Linked DNA regions of Mus musculus. The protein of the gene in region 1 binds, or shares a complex with, the protein of each later gene. Links are inferred from orthologs where the notes say so. Each region holds a gene or a part of one and is shown in the gene's direction. Other genes may lie near its edges. The genes, in order: Tnks2 and Sh3bp2.

Region 1 (11,883 bases):
CACTGGCTATTTTCTCTTCTCCCACTTTCCATCACATGTTTGTTCATAGGGGCTGGGATGGCCTTGCACCCCTTCCTTCTTATGAGCACACACAGCAATTTGGGGTCACTCCTCTCTAGATTACATAACAAAATGACATGAAACAACTTGAAACATGGGTCATGCTTCTCACATTAAAAAAAAAAGTGTCCTATGGTCATGTAGGCTCAAAACAGAGTTCTCCATGCTAATGAGGTCCCTAGAGGCCTAGAGGGCTTAGCCAATAAGCTTCCCTTCCCAGACATTTCTCCCTGTAAAATGTATTTAATCTCAGATCCACCCTGAGAAGTGGGGAATGGTTTCATGAATCCATTTTCTGCCATGACAATAAACTGCTTTTCATAGAGATCTGATGTGGGGAACCACCAAGAAGGCCTTTGCCTATAGAGCCGCAGCCTAACCTTCTGTAAAAGGCCTCTCTGAGCTCCCAGCCACAATCATCACAGAGCCAACCACCAAGGACAATCATCCCAGCTTGGACAAGCCTGAGCTCCCCCCACCCCCACCCCTGCCTCAGCCCCTGGGCTAGACAAAGTCCCCAGCCCTTTGCCCCCTACTCCACTCTCTGCTCTTCTGAGATTCCCAGTGGCACCTGGATGTCCAACAGCCTGAGAAACACACGGCCCAGGCCTTGTCGCAGGCCCAGGGTTCCCCAAACCAACCCTGGCTTCCCCACACCAGACTGTGCTTTCCCGCCCCTTGAGCAGTACCTCCTCACCTCCCTACAGCACCAGCTCCAGCATTCTCTCTCTTTTTCTTTCTCCCTCCCTCTCCCCTTCCTCCTCTAGGGATCAAAATTAGAGCCTCACACTAGAGTATTTGTATCATAAATAGACTGATGTATTCAACTTTACTGCCCCCCATCTTCACCAAATTATATAGCACATAATTTAATAGTATTGTTACATAATCTGCTGATCTCCAGAAACTTTTCATCTTATAAAACGGAAACTCTATGCACTAGCTGGTTTTGTGTACCAACTTAACACAAGCTAGAATGAGAGAGGAAGGAGCTTTAGTTGAGGAAATGCCTCCATAAGATCCAGCTGTAAGGCATTTTCTCAACTAGTGACCAATGGGGAAGAGCCCAGCCCATTGTGGGCTGCCATCCCTGGGCTGGTGGTCCTGGGTTCTATTAAGAAAGCAGGCTGAGCAAGCCAGTAAGCATCACCCGTTATGGCCTCTACAACAGCTCCTGCCTCAGGGATTCTGCCCTGTTTGAGTTCTTGTCCTGACCTTCTTTTGTGGTGAAGAACATTGTGGACGTATAAGCTGAATAAACCCTTTCCTCCCCAACTTGCTTTTTGGGTCATGGCATTTCGTTGAAGCAATAGAAACCCTAAGTAAGTACTCTATGATCATTAAATAGTCCCATTCCATCCCTTCCCCAATGCCTAACAATTATTCTGTCAATTTGTCCACTTTATAATCTTATGGTATGAATCAGGTTCTATAATAGGACTCTCTGAACCCATCAGCAGTTAAATAATGACACATGGACTTACTAATTTTTTCTTTTTTTTTTAAAGATTTATTTATTTATTATATGTAAGTACACTGTAGTTGTCTTCAGACACTCCAAAAGAGGGCATCAGATCTTGTTACAGATGGTTGTGAGACACCATGTGGTTGCTGGGATTTGAACTCTGGACCTTCAGAAGAGCAGTCGGGTGCTCTTACCCACTGAGCCATCTCACCAGCCCAATTTTTTTTTTTTTAAAGTATAGAATAGAGTTTATTCAGGGCATGGGAGGGGAGTTGAGAAGGTAGTAGACACAGAGAAAGGGGGGATGTGAGGAGAGAGAGAGAGAGAAAGAGGAAGAAGAAGAGGAAGAGGAAGAAGAGGGAGGAGGAGGAAGAGGAAGAAGAAGAAGAAGAAGAAGAGGAAGAAGAAGAAGAAGAAGAAGAAGCAGCCAATCATGAGCACGTGGAAAGAGAGGGGAGAGGGGAATAGGGCGTGGGGTGGGGAAGGGGTGAGAGGACAGAGTGGGAGCAAGAAGGCAAGAGTAAGAGATGACTTATTAATAATTATAAAAAGCCTAGGTCTTTAGCTTGGGCTATCTCCCAGCTAGCTTATCTAGCTTAATTTTACTAAAGAAACAAGATGTGCATGTAGTGGAAAGATCGAGTGAGGTACAGTGAGGAGGTAGCCATCTATAAGCCAAGGAAAAGGGTTTTGAGGAAACCAAAACACCAACCAACATCTTGATCTAACTTTTTTTTTTCGTTTTTCTTTTTTCTTTTTTCCAATTTTCTATTAGGTATTTTCTTCATTTACATTTCAAATGCTATCCAAAAAGTCCCCCCATACACACCCCACCCCCCGCCCCCTGCTCTCCTACCCTCCCACTCTCACTTCTTGGCCCTGGGGCATATAAAGTTTGCAAGACCAAGGGGCCTCTCTTCCCAATGATGGCCAACTAGGCCATCTTCTGCTACATAGCAGCTAGAGACACGAGCTACTGGTTAGTTCATATTGTTCTTTTTTTTTTTTTTTTGGTTTTTCGAGACAGGGTTTCTCTGTGTAGCACTGGCTGTCCTAGAACTCACTTTGTGGACCAGGCTGGCCTCGAGCTCAGAAATCCACCTGCCTCTGCCTCCCGAGTGCTGGGATTAAAGGCGTGCACCCCACCACGCCCCACTTTTTTTTTTTTAAAGGAATTTAAAACATCTATTTTGTGGTGTTTTGCTAAGGCAGCTCTCTGCAGGAATACAAGTGAACCCGTTTTGTCTTTGTAAGCTGGCTTCTCTTACTTAACATTATGCCCTCAGTAATCACCTATGTTGGGGCACAAGATAAGATTCCTTCTTTCCTGAAGCCTGAATGTTCTTCCTTGATATGCATTCATCACATTTCATAGTCATCCATTCATGGAACAATTGGATTGTTTATAACTCTTTGCTTTTGTGAGGATTGTATTATGAACACGATTGCAGAACGATTTGAGATCCTGGTTTCAAACTATTTGACTATATCTACCCAGAAGTAGAGAAGATGGTAGCTTTATGTTGAAATTTTTAATTAATTAATTTTTAATTAATTTTATGTTGGGTGTTTTGTCTGCACCATGTTTGTGCCTGCTGAGGGCCACAGATACCAGGATTGGTGCTATATGATTGTGCACCACCTTGTAGCTGCTGGGAATTGAACTCAGGTCCTAAGTAAAACAGTGCCCTGAACCACTAGACCATCTCTCCAGTCCCAATGTTTAGTTTTGTAAGGAACTACCAAGTGTTTCCTGTAATAATACACATTTTATGATCACATTAAGAGTGCCAAAACGATTCTAATTTGTCCATCTCACCAACATTTGTTGTTTGCTGTTTGTTTGCTTTTAGAACAGCCATCCTAATATGGTTTCTTTGTTAACTTCATTTCTCTAGTAATCAAGTGTTTTAAAAACAAGTTAGGCTGGGCTGTGGTGTTGTACGCCTTTAATCCCAGCACTTGGGAGGCAGAGGCAGACAGATTTCTGAGTTCAAGGCCAGCCTGGTCTACAGAGTGAGTTCCAGGACAGCCAGGGCTACACAGAGAAACCCTGTCTCGAAAAAGAAAAAAAGAAAAAAACAAAAACAGTTAGGGTTGAGGAGATAGATCAGTGAGTAAGTGATGCTGTATGATGTTGTTTAGATACACATATTGGGAGGAAATACATAAGCAGAAATCACTAAATAAAAAATTATAAAAATTGGGAATATATTTGGCAAGTCGATGAAATGAAGAAAAATGAGACAATCATAGTAGTAAGGTTCTAATCCTTAGGTATATTCATGAATAGTTATTTAGTAATAGGGATCAATTTAAATTTACACTAAGTAGTCTAAGAACATAATGGAATAAACATATAAGAAGGTACATTTACTAAAATGCTCAAGAAGTGTCCCTGCTTTTCTCCCACAGAAGTGAGTCAACGCTCCCTAACAAAAACTGGATTTCCTGAAAAACAGGTTAAGTAATTCACAGGGGAAATGCTTGTCAGCGTGCCAAAAGTCAGCACTTTCTTGCAAGCAAAATCTCTGTATTCCTTTCTTTCGGGTTCCTGAAACAAGATGTCACTACTACCTTAAACACAGCTAACATTCTTTCCAGGCTCCGCCCAACAGTTACCTGGCAACAGCCAGGTAGGCCTGGCTGTTTGTCCCCCTTCTCTCTCAGACTCTTCTCCTAACCCCTTTCTCCCTCTCTCCCATCCCCCCTCCCCCGTCTCTCTCCACGTGTTCCTGGCCGGCCTCTCTTCTTTTTCTCTCTTCCTCTGTCCTTCTCTGCCTCTACTCTCTTCTCTACTCCCCTTCCCATGCCCTAAATAAACTCGATTCTACACTACACCCGTATGGCTGGTACCTCAGGGGTAAGAAAGGGATGTTTCAGCATGGGCCTGCCCAGGAATCCTTCCCACCTTACCAGACCTGGCTCTACAAAACACATCCTTGTTGTTGTTGTTTTTTTTTTTTTAATAAAACACAATAAACACGAAAATGAATTGTGCACTTGTATTCTTTGATCAGAGAGAGAGAGAGAGAAACTTCGGAAAACTTTGATGTGTATGCTTTGTATCAGCACCTCGACCACATCCGGTGCAATGCTGATTTATGTATAGATCCTCGTCAGCGCTGAGCTAATAATTTACTATGGGAAGCGGAGCTAATCACAGCCACCCCACCCCCCAATTGTTGCTTTAGAATTGAGATGAACTTTCTTCGCTTTCTTGATTTATCTGGGGGCCGCTCATCCAAACTTCTCAGTAAGCGTAACGGATTCATTTCTGAGAAAACGCTTATAAGAAAAACAAAAGCAGATGCGGAGAGTTAAGGGAAGAGACACTGTAAAGAAGGCAGGAGGGGGAAGGGGTGAGAAATCTCCCAGGGGGAAGGTACGGAAGCAACACTGCAGAGATTTTCACGCTAAAACTTGCACAAGAAAATGCATAATCAGAACAAAACTTCCCAAGATTCGTCTTCGGTGTCTGAGCAATGAAACTCGTCTCGAGAAGTGTAGGCTTTAATAAAAGAAAAGGCAGCAAGACCTCTCGTTTTTAGCAGAGGCTCTGTAAAGATGGCGGTGGGCCGAAGCCCCTTCTCTTTCCGCAGCCAAAGGCTCTCCCTGCACATTTCCCACAAACCCCTCCGCGCGGCCCCGCTTGCCCAAACTGGCCCGGCCGGAGAGCAGCCACTGCGCACGCGCGAGCCGACGTCACGCGCGCTCCCAGGACCCGACCGAGCTGGCAGGAGTGGTCTCGGCCGCTTCCGCCGTCGCGTCGCTTCGGGGCTCGGCGAGCGGGTTCGCGCTGCCTCCACCGCGGTGGGGCAGCCGGGGCTCACGGAGCCGAGCCGGGGGCGCGCGGCGACGCGGCCATGGGACCGTGCCGACTCTGGTGACAGCGGGGAGCGGAGCGGCCCGGGCCCTGAGCGCGTCTCCTGCGGGGGGCCTCGCCCTCCTGCTCGCGGGGCCCGGGCTCCTGCTGCCTTTGCTGGCGCTGCTGCTGGCGGCGGCGGCGGCGGCCCGGATCATGTCTGGCCGCCGCTGCGCCGGCGGGGGCGCGGCCTGCGCGAGCGCCGGGGCCGAGGCCGTGGAGCCGTCCGCCCGCGAGCTGTTCGAGGCTTGCCGCAACGGGGACGTGGAGCGAGTCAAGAGGCTGGTGACGCCCGAGAAGGTGAACAGCCGCGACACGGCGGGCAGGAAGTCCACCCCGCTCCACTTCGCCGCAGGTAAACGCGGGCCCCGCGGCGCCTCCCGCACGCCCCACCTGCAGGCTCGGGCTTGCAGGCCGCAAGCCGCGCGGCGCTGCCCTGTCTCCGACCTTTCCCCAGGACTCTCACCCTGGCCGCCCGCCCTCCTCTCTCGGGGCTCGTGATGAGGGTGGGGTGAGCGTGCTCTCGGGAAGTTGTTTTTGAGGTTATGGGGTTTTTTGTTTGTTTGTTTGTTTGTTTGTGTGCTGGGAGGGGGGAAGCTTTGTTTTGTTTTACTGTATCAACAATACCTGCCCCGACTTCCGGTCTTATTACCCCGGAGGGCCTCTGCACACAAGAAAGGCTTAGTAGACCTTGTGATTTGAAAGAGTAATTATCTCCAAAAAATGGACCCATGTTTGCAAGTTTCATCGACACTCTTAGTAACCCCTTAAGTTCTAGCGGCCGTCATAAACTGAAATTTTAATTTAGGAGTTATTTTATTAGCTATTGGCTCATTAGAGTTAATTGGATTAGGTTTCTGGAGAGACTAAAACCGGAAATGGGCATGTTTGGGAGACCTGAGATCTACTTAGGTTGTGTGTGGGTGGCCTCTGCCTTACTCCCGCACAAGTCGGGATGGAAAGTGAGCTGAGAGACAAGATAGGACACGCACTTGAGCTTGGATCTAGGATTTTGAGTCATCCTGAGATTTATTGTAGATAGTTTGGAGTTACTTTTAACTACTGGGTTCTCTTTGTGGTACCAGCGTGTTGAAGTTTGCTTGTTGAGGTATTTATTTGAAAAGGCCAGGGATGGGAACCAACTTAATGATTATTCATGTTAAGGACAGTTTGTAACTTTTTAACCTCATAATCAAATAAGATCCTCTTAGCCTGGTAACATTTGATACAGTGTGCATCAGAATTGTTTAGCAGTTCTTTATATTTAAAAAAAAATTTTAGTTTCTTGTGTTCCTTAGGGGCAAAAATGGTAGACAAAAGAGTATAAAAAAAGATTTATTGTTTGTTTGTTTACAGGCATTGATTTTACAGTTCTTCCAATTGTAGGTCTGTTTGCTTTGACCTGTCCCTATTTTAAAATGTATGTACTGTCAGAAATCATGCCTCCTTAATTGATTGCCGGTTTGGGAGCAAGGGAAAAGTTTGGGAAAACCACAATTGGGCAGAAGAGAAATTTGCCTGTGGGCACTGAGAAGTGAGAGCATGAAGCCAAATCTCTGTTAGCAGTGTTGCCTTGCTTCAGCTAGTTTGAATTGTCTTGCTTGACCATTTAGCCAACCTATTTGGCAAATGGTCACAACCAAGTGCTAGATAATCCAAAGGGGTAATGTTACTTAGATTATGTACGCTTGATAAAAATAGCCAAGGTCGATCTTAGTTGCCACCTTTCAAGAATTTAATGTATTAGTGAGTTCATGTCTGAAAATAGTAGTATTTTGAGGTGCGGGTTGGGGACTTATGGTGTGACCTTGTTGCTCCCACACCATCCCACCCTCAGCTCTGCTCCAGTATGCCCCTCCCCCACCCACACGGATGGAATATAAGACCTTGCACATGCCAGACAAGTGTTCTGGCCTCTGAATGAGGTAGATTAGACCCTACCCCTGCCTCAACATATTAAGGAATATTTTACATGTATTTTATATTGTTTCTCCAGATTGAAATGGGAATTTAAATATTATAGAGAGCAATTCACCACTCAAAATTCACCTATATTGCCAGTTGTAGGTTGTAAAATTAAGAAGTTAAAATGTAAAAAGGAAAACATAAAATAATTACTAAAGATACTAGGGAGATGGCTCAGTGGATAAAGTACTTGCTTGCCTTGCAAACAGGAGGGCCTGAGTTGAGATCCCTAGCACCCACGTAAAAAGGCAGTTCTGTTGATGCACACTTATAGCCCCACACTAGGAGGTGGAGACAGAAGGATCCGTGGGACTTACTTGAAAAGCCATGAGCCCCAGGGTCAGTGCAGTGACCCTGTCTCAAAAATTAGATGGAGGAGAGCCATCGATGAAGATGCCTGCCCTGCCACCCACTCACACGCGCAGATACACCTAGCCTACCATATACACAGAAAAATAATCACTAAAGAATTGATATTAAGTCACAGTTTTAAGAGTCTTACATTTAAACCCTGCATAAAAAAATAAGGAGCTTTAAAAAAAATGGCTTTGTGAATTTTAAAATCCAAATTATTAGATTAATGTGGCACTAATCACTAATGAATTTATTCCTTTTCTGGATATGGAACTAGAACCTTGCTTGGCCCTACTAGACATATGTGCACCTGCTGAGCTATAGTCTCAATCAGCCCTGGTTTTTTTGTTTTTTGCTTTTTTTTAAAGATTTATTTATTTTCATTTATATGAGTACCCTGTAGCTATCTTCAGACACACACCAGAAAAGTGCATTGGATCCCATTACAGATGGTTGTGAGCCACCCTGTGGTTGCTGGGATTTGAACTCAGGGACCTTCGGAAGAGCAGTCAGTGCACTTAACCCCTGAGCCATATTGCCAGCCCTGTTTATTTTTAAGTAAAGTTGCTCACTAGCATTTTCTTTGTGAGTTACCATTTGTGTTTATGCAAGCATACTTTTGGATCCTCCTCTGCAGGTGGTGGTACTTGATAATTGCCTGACCAAGCAGTTACTTGTGTTTTTATTTTATAGAGAATTCATTCTTTTAGAGAAAAAAAAAAAAAAAAAAAAAGAGCCCAGCAGTGGTGGCGCAGGCCTTTAATCCCAGCACTTGGGAGGCAGAGACAGGCGGATTTCTGAGTTCGAGGCCAGCCTGGTCTACAAAGTGAGTTCCAGGACAGCCAGGGCTACACAGAGAAACCCTATCTCGGGGAAAAAAAAAGAGTTAGTGCTGAGAAAAAAAATTATTAAAATAGCCAGTTAAAGTTTAGAGGTTTAATTAAGGAGTCTAGAGGTTTGTCAGTAGGAATAAGATATATTCATGCTACAGAGAAGGAAAAAGGGTTTTGTATTTCCATCCTGGCCAAAGAAAAAATTAAAAATCAACCTTAATTTAGTTAATCAGTTGTCACTCCTTAGAGGAATTAAGTTCCATTAGTGATAAAGATAATTACAGAAATGGGTATTTTTCTTCCGTTAGCTGCCTTTTATTATTGGGCTAGGTTACATACTTCTGATATGATCTTTAAGAAATCTTTATAAGGAAACAGTTACACAGAAAAGATTTCCTCTTCCATCTCTTCTTTTCCCTGCCTCCAACTACACAGATGCAGGATATGAATTGATTCTTTTCTTTTTCACCAAGTTCTTCTTTGGGGGAGACTTTGGCCTTTCTATAACCACCTTTATGAATGCTTGTTACCTGTGATGAGATGGGAATCATTCTTCTAAAAGTACATATGTTAAATGATTTTACAATGAAGAAGAATACTAAACTAATTTTTCCTTATTCTGATTCTTTTACTCTGCAATTTAAGAAGCCTTTTCTAAAAGCATTTCTTCCAGGTGGGTTCTAAAAGATGCAGAGGGCCAATAGTAGAACAAAGGACACATGAATGCCAAGAGGTGATGGATGGCAAGAGAAGACCTCATAGCAGTAATTTACTGTCTCCTTGAAGATTTCCTTCATGGCTTCTTGGTACCATTCTAGCTTTCTAATACAGGGGTATAGTAAGCAAACATCAACAACTATTAAATGTCTCATCCTCTGAAGGACTCCAGGAAACTAAGACATTCACAGTCCTTGTCCCTTATGGAATTAGCATCCAGGAGCTGGGTTTGGTAATCAGCTCTAGGAGACTAGGTAGGATAAGCTTGAATTTAAAGCTAGCCAGGCGCTGAGACACTGTACAGAGAGAAAGATGAGTGATACAGACTAGGAGATTACTAACCCGTGTATTAGATTACACATTTTGGTAAACGCCGAAACACTGGTATGAAGAGCAAAGGCTCAGTCCCTGCTCTTATGGTGCTTTCATCTTAGCAAAGGAAGAGAGACAGCCAACCAGTGTTAGATGATAACAGGCGGCAGAAATGGAGGCTGCTTACAGGTGGCCTTTTGGGGGGGGGTTGTTTTTTTTTTCCCCCAAGACAGGGTTTCTCTGTGTAGCCCTGGCTGTCCTGGAACTCACTCTGTAGACCAGGCTGGCCTCGAACTCAGAAATCGCCTGTCTCTGCCTCCCGAGTGCTGGGATTAAAGGTGTACGCCGTCCAGCAGGGTGGTGACTTTTAAATAGACAATTACTGAGCTATGTTATTTTTTTGGTTTGTTAGTTTGCTTTGTTTTTGTGGGTGGCGGTATTTGTGGTATGGTTTTTGTTGCTGTTGTTGTTGTTTGCATAGTCTCACTAAGAACCAGCTCCCTTTATATTTGTAATCCTTAAGCCTCCAAAGGACAGAGATTAATTACAGGTGACACAGCACTGAGATCCAGGACTCTGAATTCTGTGAAGTGAAAGGGTCATGAATAAATATCTTTGTTCATCACTGTTTCTCCAGTATTCTAGTTTCTGTTGCTGTGATAATAAAACACCACAACCAGAAGCAACTTGGGAGGAAAGGATTTATTTGGCTTCCACTTCTGTATCACAGTCACTCAAGAAGGGAAGGGAAGGGAAGGCAAGAACTAGAGCAGAAGCTGTAGGGTGTGCTGCTTACTCGCTTGCTCTATATGGCTCCTTACGATAGCTTTCTTACACTACCCAGAACCACCTATCCAAATGGACTGGGCCCTTCATCATCAATCAAGAAAATACCCTACAGCTGGGCAGTGGTTGCTCATGCCTTTAATCCTAGCACTTGGAAGACCGAGGCAGGCAGATCTCTGAATTCAAGGCCAGCCTGGTCTATAGATCAAATTCCAAGACATCCAGAGCTACACAGAGAAACCCTGTCTGGAAAATTCAAAAAAGAAAGGGAGGAAAAAAATTAAAATAAGAAAATACCCTCTGCACTCTACAAGCCAGTCTGATGAAGGTGTTTTCTTTGATTCCCAGATGTCTCTAGCTTGTGTCAACATGACCAAAAACTAACCAGCATAGGAAGTGTTCTTCACAGTGTGTGGTGTCTAACAGTTTGTTATATTATATCATAGTATTAGAAAAAGAGACAGACAAAGAAGAAAATCTACAAAAGAATGTTCTGGTGTGGGCTGCCACATCTGGCCTATGATGTTTGTTTTTTATAGGCTGTTGAGAGTAGAAATGAAAGGGCCATTTCTGAAGGAAACTGTTGAGGGCTGGAAGTTGGGGTGTCAGTGAAGTGTAGAAAAGCTGAGAACATGTTGAGTTAAAGATGCTTTTGAAGGGTGGAGGTGAAACATTGTAGAACTTAGGTAACAAGTCTAGACTGCAGGCTCCAGTTTATGGACTGTGTATCTATGTGATATGCAGGCCACAGGGATAGATACAATCATCTAAAAGGGCAAAAGAAAACTTGGAATCTCACAGAATTTTCCAGTATTTAGATATTGGGGAGAGGAGACAAGCTCCTGAGATATTAAGGGGTTTTTGTTTTGGTGTTTTGTATTTTTTTTTCTTGTATAGGTGTTTTGCTAAGTGTGTGTCTGTGCAACAAGTGTGCTGCAGAGGGAGTCAGATCTCCTGGAACTGCAGTTACATACAGATGGTTCTAAGCCACTTTGTGGGCTCTGGGAACTGAACCCAGGTCCTCTGAATGAGCAGCCAGTTCTCTTAACCACTGAGCTATCTTTCCAGCACCAGGACATCAGCTCTCACTAGAGAGCTTTCCCACATCTCAGTTGATGACCCCTGTTCCTCAGGCCAAACCTCACGGTCATCTATGACTCCTCAATCATTCTCTCTCACATTTGCCCTTTCTTACCGCCTCACCCTACTCTTGCCCCACATTTCACCCATTGGGAAGCTATGCTGACTCATCTCACCTTAGAGTATCCAGAATGTGGCACTCATCAATCTGAGCAACTCAGTTATAATACAAGCCACCATAATCTCATCTACTTTACCTAGTAGCGCTCAACACATCAGCCAGAGGAGCGTGTCACGTCATAACTTAACAGCTTAAAACCGTTTTCCACAGTATTCTTCTTTTTTAAAAAAGTCAGACTTGTGTGGTCTTCAAGTTTTCTGATCTTTTTGTTTCTTTGGGTTGGGTTGGGTTGGGTTTGGTTTTTCAAGAAAGGGTTTTTTGTGTA
Region 2 (11,608 bases), on another chromosome or scaffold:
GATATCTTCACTGGTGACATGGGGATGGCCCTGGTTGGCATGTCAGGGTGTTGTGATGATGTGGGTTGGTCCCTGAAGAGCATCAAGTCTGGCCTATGGGGAGTGGCCAGTGCAAGTCCTGAGCCATTCTGAGCCTCAGTGTCCTAGCCTGTAAAGTGCAAAGCAAAGCCTGAGTTCACGCACCCTGTCAAGGCTGATGAGCAGTCAAGGAGTAGGCAGGGCCAGGCTAGCTTCTAGGGACCATCCATGAAGGGTCTTAGGAGACTGTAAGTGTGTCTTTGTGTGTATATGAGTGTGAATATCTAGGTGATTTGCATATATGTATGGTATGAATGTGTCATCAAGCACTTGTGTAAGTATGTGTGAGTGTGAACACATGCGTTTATGCTTTTTAAAAAATGTCATTTTAATTATGTGTGTATATATATGTATATATACATATATGTATTATGTATGTGTGTGTATGTATGTGATAACATATGCACATGAGTAAAGCTGCCCACAGGTCTAGAAGAAAACCATATCAGATCCCCTGGATCTTGAGTTGCAGGCAATTGTGTGCTACTGATGTGAACCAAAGGGACCCTCTGCAAGAGCAGCACCCACTTTTAACTGCAAAACCATCTCTACAGCTTCAAAAGCATGTGTCTGAACACATGAATAAGTATGTGTGCATGTGTGATTATTGTGTCTGGATGTGTGGTTCAGTTCCTATGAGAACAAAAATGTCTTAGTTATTTTCCAGTTGTGGGGACAAAAACCATGATCAAGGTAACTCATGAAAGAAAGTGCTTAAACCCGGAGCTCACCGGTCCAGAAGGTTAGAATCTGCAACCGTCACACAGGAAGCATGGTAGCAGGTAAACAGGCATTGCACTGGAGCAATCCTCGAGAGCTCACATCTGATTGACAAGCACAAGGCAGAAAGGACTAATTGGGAATGGCGTGGGGGTTTTGAAACTTCAAAGCCCACACCCAGTGACACACCTCCTAGAACAAAGCCACACCTCTTAATCCTTCTCAAACAGTTCTACCACTTGGGGGCCATTCTCATTCAAACCCTCACAATGAGTATATGTGCATGTATATGTGTAAGATGAGGGTTAAGTTGAGATTATGTGTATATGTGTGTACATGAGAACATATGTATGCACAAGTGCCCCAGTGGTACCTGCTTTCCTTTTCCTTGGGCTAGAACCCCCACCCCCGCCTTACCCTGCAGCTTCACAAAGAGCAGTCCGGCTTGATCACAGGAATAAGTGTGCTTCACATAGGCAGGGACATATCCACAGGTGTCGGGGGCTCATGGATAGGCTCATATATGCATGTATATATGCACATGTATCAATGTGCATACATGTATGTTGTGTGAATGTAACACCTGTGATGTTAACCAGGTGTGCAGAGCCACCAAGAATGTATGGACCCTTGCAGGTGATGACCACTCACCTCTGCAGACTCACAGGGTCCCAGGGCAGGCACAAGCCACAGAACTTGTTCTGGCTGACTTTGTGGCACAGAGTGGTTTTTATTGAGTGGCCCAGTCCATATCCTCTAGCAGCCTCTGGAAACAGTGTTACCTGAATCAAGACCAGTTATGAGAGAAGGGGAGGGAGGAAGATGTATAGAGAAGCAGAGAGACTTGACTTGGAGGATGTGTGGCAGGTGTCCAGCCTTCCTGGTGTGCATGCAAGCACAGACATAAACTTACAGGCTCAAATGCATGTCCACATACACACATGCAAACAATTATCTCACACCTTCTACGTGGTCTCATGGGCTTTAGCCACAACCACTGACTTGCAAAGGTCTGGTGTGGGGCCGGGGAGAGGCCTGCAGCTACAAGCAAAAGGATCCACAAAACAGAATGAGCCTAGCAAATGAGTCCTGACCCTGCTACCCCAGCCTCCTACAGAGGGAGGGGATTTGTTGCTAGGTTATCAGGGGACTGGGCTCTTCCATGCCTCCTCTGCTGATAGGGACTTCCTAATTGGAAGATGAGGGCCAAGTGGGGTTTGAACTTATGTCTCCATACTATCCCTCAAAACTCTCATCCACGGTGGCTCAGCCCACCAAGGTTGCTGTTCCTACAGAGAAGGGAACTGGGCATCCCTGCTCCATGAACTGTCAGTTCCCTGACAGTTGAGTTGAATTGTGCTATTAGGTCCCTGGGTCCGGGGTGGTGCTGTGGGTACTGAGGTGGCTAGTCTGGTTAGTGGGCGGCTAAGAGTCTTCATTCTGTTCACAGGCGAGCCAGGAGTTCTTTAGTTTCTCTCCAGCTTTCCCAGGCACAGGTGGCGCTGGACTCTGTAGGCTGAGCTAAAACTCTCCAGGAAAAGCATGGTAGTAACCGCCTCCCACCCCCCAGGTGGCACATCCTCTTTCTGCTCCTAGCTTAGATTGGTATTGGGTTCCTGAGCAGGGTCACCTGGTGTCAGGCAGGGCTTATCTGGAGAGGGGTTGTGATTCCGGTTCTGAAGTGCGAACGTTCCTAGGAGAGATGAAGTAGAGTATCACTTGGCTCTCATGACATCCTCTCCAGCAAGGTGTTCAATGGCCGCCCACAAGCTTTCATTCTGCCCACAGGAAGGTGGTAGCTAGGCTGTCTCCTGCTGGCCACTGAGTTGAAACAAGATGGGGCTGAAACCGCTTAACTCTTGCACCCAACCCCACCCAAACATGCAGCCAGGGGGAGGTAGGCACATCTTTCCTTGCAGCAGCTCCAGACATCAGAGCAGGGCTCTGTTTCAGCTCCCTTCCACAATCCTCAGACCAACTACCCACCAGAAGCAACTGTCTAGTTTACTCTGGGCACTCTGGCTTCCCACTCTGGGCAGGGCCTGCAGGCTAAGTAAGTTTGGGGGATAGTGATAACCTACTATGGCCAGTGTCAGGTGGAAGGAAGGCTGGGTCACTAGCCCCAGGCTGGGGACATAGGACCAGCTACTATTCATGGGTACTCAGAAGAGGGAATGCTGAACCTCATTTGTTCCCAGACTTGTTGCTAGCACATCCTTCTACCTTGCAAAACCCACTTATTAGTCCTGATAATTTATAACTTCCTTGGAATTTTTGCTACATAAAGCCATGTAATCATTGCTTAGGTTTTGTTTTTGTTTGTTTGTTTTTCTTATCTGGACACTTGATTTACTTGTGTCTGCACAGCAAATGTATGTAGTGCTTGTAGAGGCCAGAAGAGGGCATCAAGTCCCCTGGAGCTGGAGCTGCAGACAGATGTGAGATTCCTTGTGGGTGCTGGATCCTCTGTAAAAGCAGTCAGGCTCCTAACCACTGACTGCCTGTCCAGCCTGACATTCAATTTCTTTTTATTATATACTTTCCTTGGCCACACTTTCCATACAATGTTGAAAAGAAGCAATGGGATCCTTGCCTTGTTCCTGCCTTTCAGGAAACTGAAAATGTTCGGCCTTTTACTTCCGGCTGTAATAGCTGTAGGCTTTTCTTAGATGGCCTTTGTTAGGTTTAGAGAGTTCCCTTCTGCTGTTTTTCTTCCTTCCTTCCTTCCTTCCTTCCTTCCTTTCTCTCTTTCTTCCCTTCTTTTTTCTTTTTAGATTTATTTATTATTGTATTTTTTTATGTGCTGTTAGATTCAGTTTGCTAGCATCTTGTGGAGAATGTTTATGCTGTGCCCAGAAGGGGATTTGGGGCTGGGGATATGGCTCAGTTGGTAGACTCCTGTCTAGTTTCAGTCCTCAACACTGCTTAAGCCAGATGTGGTCATCCTCAAACTTAGGATATGGAAGCAGGGAAATCAGAAGTTCAAGGCCAGCCCGAGCTATTCTGTCATAAAAAAGATACACAAACAGAAATCCTCAGAGACTTATTGGTCTGTAGCTTTCGTGTCTGTGACAGCTTCATCTGGGTTTGGGTATTGAGGTGATGCTGGCCTCATTGGATTTGCTCTGCGAGTTTGTATATGACTAGTGCTCTTGGAATCTAATATTTAATGGCTAAATTACTTTACTTGCAGCAGCAGGCAGTGGAAACAACCTGGACTAAGGTGAATTCTTGTGGGCTTGGGTGAGCAGAGTCTGTGCACAGCAGAGCAAAGCACATCTAAAAGGTCGAAAGTAGAGGTAGGGCTGGATTAGGAAGTGCTAGAGTGTTGCCAGGTGTGATAGTGTACAGCAGCAATACCAGTACTTGGGAGGCTGAGGCAGGAGGATGCCAAGGTAGAGCCAAGCCAGGGCTACAGAGTGAGACCCTCTTTAATGCCCCCCCCCCGGCAGGATTGTGTCCATGGCATTTAGAATAATGATGTGATGGGAATGGTGTGTTGGCTGGAAGGTGAGGAAGGGAAATTGGGGGAGGCAGGGAGAGGTGTGGCCTGCTCAGAAGCAGTAGAGACGGGGATCTGTAATGCAGGGTGGCTGGAAGAAGGAGGCAGCTTAGTGTTCTGGGTAAGATGTTCCTCCAGAAACCAATGCCCCAGGCAGCCGGACTCTTGGAGTGAGAAAGCTGTAGGAACGTCAAGGCTGCATATAGTAGGAAGGGGCCTGGAGAGCTTGCCTAATATAGAGACTTGGACACCAGGGAGAAGAGTCTAGAATAGACAGTTGGTGGGAGTGAAGCCTGAGGAATATACCAGAGTTGCCTCTGAAGGGCAAGTGTGCTGCCTTCTGCCACAGATAGTCCATCTTGGGGCAGCCTGTGTGATGATGGGAGATGGAGAAGGAAGGATGCCTAGGAAGTCAACAGGGCTTTACCAGCCTTAGGCATCCAGGAACACTCTTCTGGGACAGGTATTCAAAGAAGCCCAAGTAGGTAAGAGCTGCCAAGGGCTGGCTCACTCCTTGGAGGAATTCCGTCCCGAGGGAGACCCATGGAGTGGACATTGGCAAGGTGACATGATGGGGTACTAGCGTAGGAAGTAGGGTGCCATAGACGCTCATATCCAAGGTGCAAACTGGGTGGAGATCAGCAGGCGGGGACTTCGGGATCCTCAGATGTTGGGAATATGAGCGTGACTTCCTCATTCGCATTGGTGGCTTCCTTGTTTGTCTGGATGGCTCTTAATTCTGGATTATACAGACACAAGTTTCCAAGTTTCCACTTATTGCAGCCCACCACCCTCAGTGCAGTGGGTGGAGAAACTGACGTAAGGAGGGGCGGGTCCGCTTTCTTACCTGGCCCCTAGCCCTTACACTACCGCCCGCGAGGGGAGGAGCCAGGGGCAGCTCCGGCCTGGGGCTCTACGAGCTATGGCGGGCTCAGGGTCGCGGCCGCGGAGCTGGGGCTGGCGAGAGACAGGCTCCAGGGACGAGGCTGCGGCCGGTGGGCCCACCTCGGGACCCTGTCGCTGCTCACAGGGAAGGCGGGCGCTGGCCGCCCCCCGGAAGCCGGCTGTGCCCGCCGCGTGGACACCGTGAGTACTGATCCTGCCTGGGGCTCGGGATCTGGGGCCCCAGCCCTGGTTCTGAGCATCCACACTCAGTTCAGACTTCCACTCCTCAGACCTGGGCCCCCACCCTCTGCACCACGACCCGGGACCGAAAGTCCCTGGAGCCCCAGGCGCTATCCGGCGTCTACTCAGAACAAAGGAGAGCATGGGCCAGCCAGAGTTGGCTGGCCAGGGGGCTTCGAGAGCCTGGCGCGCTGTCTGTCCATCTGCTTGCACGGCATGGGCATGGGAGTGGGCACCCTCCTCGCACTCCACTGCTGTGCTCGGACCCGCGTTCCCCTTGGCCCTGCGCGGGGGTGTGGTCGCGCCATTGTTCCAAACCTCCGCCTGTGGTTCTGTGGTTCGAGGACCAATGGTCCTGACCAATGGCCTGGACCATGGACCAAGTGCATTTGAGTGTTAATGCGCTCTCTCTCTCTCTCTCTCTCTCTCTCTCTCTCTCTCTCTCTCTCTCTCAGTGTGTGTGTGTGTGTGTGTGTGTGTGTGTGTGTGTGTGTGTGTGATGTGTGTGTGTATGGGGTAGCCAACGGAACTTGATTCTCTAACACATATTTGGCGGTGTGAGGTGAGCCTGGCCGTTGACAAGAGCTTAATTGATTTCCATCCTTTTTCCTTTCATTTTCGGATGCAGTAGGTTTCCCTGCTTCAGCCTTCTGAATGCTGAGCTTTCAGACGTAGGCCACCCCGGGGCTGGAGGGTTTTCTCTGTGTGTTTTTGGGGGAGTTGGCACTATAGTAATAGAAATCTCAGCAGCCTGCCCTTCTGGATATGGCTGGAGCCATCCCACCTTGTTGAGAGCAGATCCCTGACCTTCCCCTCATGCAGTGCCTCAGGGTCCAAAGAGGGACCTGATGGGGTGAGTGGGTGTACCAACAGAATAATGCCAAGTTAGGGGGCAATTGTGACTGGCACTTGGGGTTCCTTACAGGAAGGACCCTCTGAGTCTTGATACTCTGGGCTGATAATGTGGATACTAGAAAACCTGCCAAATGGTCCTCATGGCACTGATGACAAGGTGTATGTGTGTGTGTTCAGAGTCCACCCTGTGCTCCCAATTTATAGCTCTAACAACTGAGGCTGGAGTTCCCCCAGAAAGCCAAACTATTGGAGCCCAAATTATTAAATCTGGGAAGTGGGGGGCTCTTGGCTTGCTCTTCTATTACCTGACTTCAGGGCTTCAAAGTGGGGATAGACAGAAGTTACTGAGGAAGGGTGGACATCTCAGGACCTGACTTTCTCTCCATAGAAGATCAGATCTGATGGAAAAGGTTCTCATTGCCTGCCTCAGTGCTCTTGAACAGCCATTTTCAAGGGGGTGACCCCAGTGCCCCCTGCTCTAGGACAAGCACTTTGTGAGCTGCCCAGGCATTGGAACCTTGGGTAGCTATGGCATAAGGCCTGATATGCCCAGGCTAGGGCTTCCTGAGTTCAGTCATTACTGCCCCAGCCTTCCTGGGGCCATGAACTCGCTGAATTCACGGTGGTAAAAGGACTGTGCTCAGAATTCTGGAGTCAGGTGTGTCGCCAAGAGGATTGGGGACTGACTATGTGGCATGGTCACCCCCAGAGCCCCACTCAGAAGCCTGGGGACTTATGAAGAGTCCTCCTCCACTGACCTGACCCTCCACGTTGCCTTCTAGATCTTAGCCATGCCCTCTCAGGACCCCCTGCCAAACTGTTCCCCGCTGTCCTCCCGGCTGAGTCCTGTCTCTTTTGCTTCAATTGCAGCTTCATGGCGGCTGAGGAGATGCAGTGGCCTGTCCCCATGAAGGCCATTGGTGCCCAGAATTTGCTGACCATGCCTGGTGGTGTGGCGAAGGCTGGTTACCTGCATAAGAAGGGTGGCACCCAACTGCAGCTGCTCAAATGTGAGTCACTGGATCATGGGAGTTTCAAAGGGAGGACACGGCTCTGCTTCTCCAGGGCTCTAGTGGGTCTCCTGAGATTTCTTTTCCTTTTCTAGCAGCTGGCACACCTAGGAAACCTGATGAGTTCCTTACCCTGGACCTTGTCACAGGATCCAACATAGTATAGCAGGCAAACTGAGGAGTCATGAGTGCTTCAGTCTGCAGCCAAGGCTGGAGGTCCTCAGGGTGGCCTGATAGATCTGGTCCCTCAGTGCTGTTTTTGCCTTGCATGTGACTTGTGGGTGAGGTGGTGAGTCATGTGGCACAGAATGGTCCCATGTGGCAGGCCAGGAGCCAGCTGAGTGTCAGGATGCCGAAGGCATAGAGCGCTAGAGCCTTGCCCGGCTCTGATCAGCCATGGACACTCCATCCTTTTGCCCCTGGGATGCCCTCTGCCAGGGATGCCCTGCCCCCGTGTTGCCTGCCTGGGATGCTCTAGCTGGACTGTTGGACCCTGTGTGCATAGCAATGTATAGATGTATGTGCTCCAAGGAAGAACCATAAATAACCTTTCCCCAGGGTTAGGAGGGGCTGTTCTGGGCAGGAGCCCTAGAGCCTGAGAACAGCTCCACCTCGATGGCTCTCACCAGCCGGCTCTGGGTGCCTAAGCTCTGCTCTCCTTGTCCTGTCAGGTCCTCACCTCCTCAATAGCCCTATTGCTCCAAGCAAGGCTGCCATGGCCTCCTTAGGCCTCTGGTCCAGGCTCCACCCTTTCTTACTGTCCCTTGAGGCCTTAATCTACCCCTTTTGGGCCAGATTTTGTGGCCAGGCCTTTCCTGGGATGGTGCCCCAAAACTTGCCCATGTGCCAGTGAACTTGTTTATATTTGACCCCAAAGAAAGTCCAAGGAAGGGGCAGCATACCAGCTCAGCTCCCTGCTCTACCTTCTGCAGTCTCAGAGGTTTGCTTCCAAGTTGCCCAGGACCTCTGGAGACCTCCTCAGAGTAGAGTTAACTGGTGGCTCTGTGGCTCACCTCTGCCACTGAATTGTCCCCAGGGCCCCTCCGCTTTGTGATCATCCACAAGCGCTGCATCTACTACTTCAAGAGCAGCACATCTGCCTCCCCACAGGGTGCCTTCTCACTGAGTGGCTACAACAGGTGAGTGTCCATCCTGTCTGCTCACCAACCTCCCATGCCCTCCCTCTCACCCTGCACCACAGAACCAATCCCTGACTGTCTGAGATGGCCTTCATCTGTTTGCTGGCTGTTATCCTACCTACCCTGGCCTTTGCTGAGGGCAGGGGGTGGGACAGTATGTGTGGGGTGAGGTCTTTACTAGCAGCTTCTTGGGGGTTCAGGTACCAAGGGCCTGAGTGGCTTACTTTGCTGAGTTCCCATTCAATGACCACTCTGTAAATGTTGTGTTCAGCCTCTGATCCTGCTCCTCACTCACCACACCCCTTCCCAGGGAGCCCAGACTCCATCCATCCCAGGCCATCCTAAACTCAGGCTCTTCATGGAATTTCTGGCTCTAGGGTTTTCCCAGGCTCCAGTTCAGTTCCCTGTTACATTATGGGCTGGGATCCAGATAGCCAGAATCCATGAACTTCCTTCCCCTCAAGGGCTTCTAGACAGGGCAGGTATAACCTGAGCTAATGCCTACTTCCGGGAGCCTCCCGTCCCGGGGGCAGAGTAGTGGTAGAGTCACAGAGAAGGACTCTGGTGATAGCTTTAAAGTCTGAGGGCCTGGGGCTTTCTAGCTCTCTAATTATACTGAAATGCTGATGATAATGTCTAAAGAGTCCTAAAAACTTTCTTGTGCTTTCTGAGCTTAAAAGACTGCTGGCTTAGGTGATTAACACCTGTAGCCTAACAGAGGAGGGTTAAGCAATGCAGTCTTTGTTCTATCTCAGCAGGAACTGCTGGGCTCCAACTTCCAGTTGGAAGTCTGATAGTCGGAAGTCATAGGAAGGGAAGACACTTAGAGAAGTGATTATAGAATTTATTACTAAGTTGTAAAAAGTTTCCTATGAAAGCTATCTAAGGGGAAAAGTGAAAAGATCCTAAGTGGGGAAAGGGAAGAATTCTCTAAGTGGGGAAAGGGAAAATATTTCTACTCTAAGTGAGGAAAGGTGAAAAATTCTACTCTATAGATTTCGCTCATCTCCTTGTCCTCAGTACTTATACATCTTTCAGAATACATGATCATATGTTACAAGGTTCATCGAAAGTTCACACAAAAAAATCAAATCATAAATTGAAACAGAAGCTTACAACAGGGAATGTTTACATGCATATCCATTAGGAGTAATTATCTGGCTAAGCATCCATCACCTGTCAGCTCCACAGTCACTGAAGGTTTAAAACCATAACTAAGTTATCAGTGAAGTTTTACATAGATAAACCCAGTCAATATTTTATTTTCTGTCCTAGCACCTATAATAAATCGTTAGTTCCCTTTTTATGTATGACCTTTGGTTAATTGTTTTACAACCTTTTGGAATGTGTTCTGAGTAGGAGAAAGTCTGGTTACCATCTAAGAGCAATTAACTGGTGACACTTGGGAGACTGACAGAGTTCTCATTGCAGCTTTGACTATCAGAAAAGGACCTAATCGCAGTCCCATTAATAAAAGAGCTTAATAATCACAGATATAGTTTTAGAAATTCTTATAGGATCATCATTAAGACTTAAGTAATCTATTTGTCTATATAGCATCACTACAAGATAGCACATCTTCGTAGATTTGCAGAGATCTGCTCCAAAGGGGTGTGCTCCTATTAGTGATTGTTATATATGTTTAATAATAACAGGAAAAGCATGTTAATAGCAGGACTCTTTCTTAAAGTGAGTCCCTCACAGCCTTGCTTAATGAGGGCTCACCTGTCACAGATTATATAATAATCCAAAGCAGGCCACTTCAGGATGATCTCCTGCTAGTTATTAGCTTGTCCCATTGTGGCTTCTGACAGCCTACGTGTTGGCTTATTGGTCATCTTGAGTTCTTATGGCTTCAGGGGCTGTAGGGTACCCAGGCTCTTTGCCTTATAGCATTGTAGTCCTGCACTCTGTTCTCTTGGGAAGTCCTCAGACACCCAGCACCTTCCTGAGCTCATACTCTGCTAACTCCCTGAAGCATCTAGGTATTCTCTGAGATCGTAAGCATCCAGAGACTGTTCAGATCTGCCCATATTCCGCAGGTCATGATGCTGAGTGCTAGAATCAGTTCAGGGGTGGGCTTTGTAGTAAGAATTCTGGAATTTTGGATTCTTTAAAAAAAAAAAAAAAAAGCACAGATATATTATAAGACTGTGTTTTTGTCTTACTCCCAGGTGTGGGGCTATGTGGCTGCTTTGCAGCAGCTGACTATGATTTGCCTCGTGCTCTAACAGGGGCATGGTTTTACCCAGCTTCAGATAGTTTCTGCAATTGTGTGACTTTGGAATTCTGGGAATTTTTCAGAGGATATATCAATGCTAAGTCCCTGAGAGGTGGGGTTCATGGTTGTTAGTTGTTCAGGGGGGGTTAGTTGCAGTTTGTTAGTAGTCGTGCTCAAAGAAGAAACAAGGAAAAAGAAATTAGATTCAGACCTATTCCCCACCCCTTTCCTCTACAATCCTTTCTCTCCTATCTGGTGATAGTGGGTGAAACCGGGAGTGGGGGGATAAAGGGTGGGAGAAGAAGAACCCACTAATTAGCAAAAGCCCAGCCACGGGGGTTGATAAGCCCATTTCTTGAGTGGACAAGCTGGTGACTTCTGGCAATGTGCCCTCAGAGTGATGCGAGCAGCTGAGGAGACCACGTCCAACAATGTCTTCCCATTCAAGATCATTCACATCAGCAAGAAGCACCGAACATGGTTCTTCTCAGCGTCCTCTGAGGATGAGCGCAAGGTGATGGGCAGGTAGCAGGGCCCCAGGAGCCAGGCAGCACTTGCCTGAAGTGCCACACTGATTACGAGGCTCTGACCTCCCATGAGCTCTAGACAGGCGGCTAGGATCCTGAAGAGAAAGACTTGGTGGAGGTCTATGGGCAGCCAGGTGCCTGTGCACATGAGAATACGCCAACAGGATATGGCCTGAAATGGGCTGGGGGGTGGGGGCAGCCGCAGCCCCATGAGGGTGGTTTCATGTCCGAAACACACGATCTATGCTGGACCTTGCTGGCTACTGTATAGAGCTAGACAGTGATGGGAAGAGGGTGGAGTGGAACTCCATTCTGGGCAACAACATACTAACTACGGTTGTTCCTGACCCACAGAGCTGGATGGCCTTGCTACGCAGGGAAATTGGCCACTTCCATGAGAAGAAGGAACTACCTCTAGACACCAGGTCTGT

What was found.
Region 2: the proteins of Tnks2 (region 1) and Sh3bp2 are in contact, whole or in part, in a crystal structure (PDB 3TWR), measured with the Homo sapiens proteins. The link is inferred for Mus musculus from reciprocal best matches to the Homo sapiens genes TNKS2 and SH3BP2. Residues at the interface, in NP_079511.1 of Homo sapiens: Arg525, Ser527, His531, Phe532, Gly535, Tyr536, Asn537, Arg538, Leu560, Asn565, Ser568, Tyr569, His571, Asp589, Trp591, Phe593, Glu598, Lys604; in NP_001116153.1 of Homo sapiens: Leu413, Gln414, Arg415, Ser416, Pro417, Pro418, Asp419, Gly420, Gln421, Ser422, Arg424.

Annotation. Positions count from the first base shown.
Region 1 is NC_000085.6:36,828,992-36,840,874, forward strand, and holds the start of Tnks2 (poly [ADP-ribose] polymerase tankyrase-2), read left to right. Parts: upstream 1-5,240; 5' UTR 5,241-5,546; coding exon 5,547-5,745; intron 5,746-11,883. UniProt on the Homo sapiens protein: Poly-ADP-ribosyltransferase involved in various processes such as Wnt signaling pathway, telomere length and vesicle trafficking.
Region 2 is NC_000071.6:34,544,411-34,556,018, forward strand, and holds the start of Sh3bp2 (SH3 domain-binding protein 2), read left to right. Parts: upstream 1-5,165; 5' UTR 5,166-5,222; coding exon 5,223-5,386; intron 5,387-7,150; coding exon 7,151-7,290; intron 7,291-8,326; coding exon 8,327-8,429; intron 8,430-11,046; coding exon 11,047-11,164; intron 11,165-11,531; coding exon 11,532-11,602; intron 11,603-11,608. UniProt on the Homo sapiens protein: Binds differentially to the SH3 domains of certain proteins of signal transduction pathways. Binds to phosphatidylinositols; linking the hemopoietic tyrosine kinase fes to the cytoplasmic membrane in a phosphorylation dependent mechanism.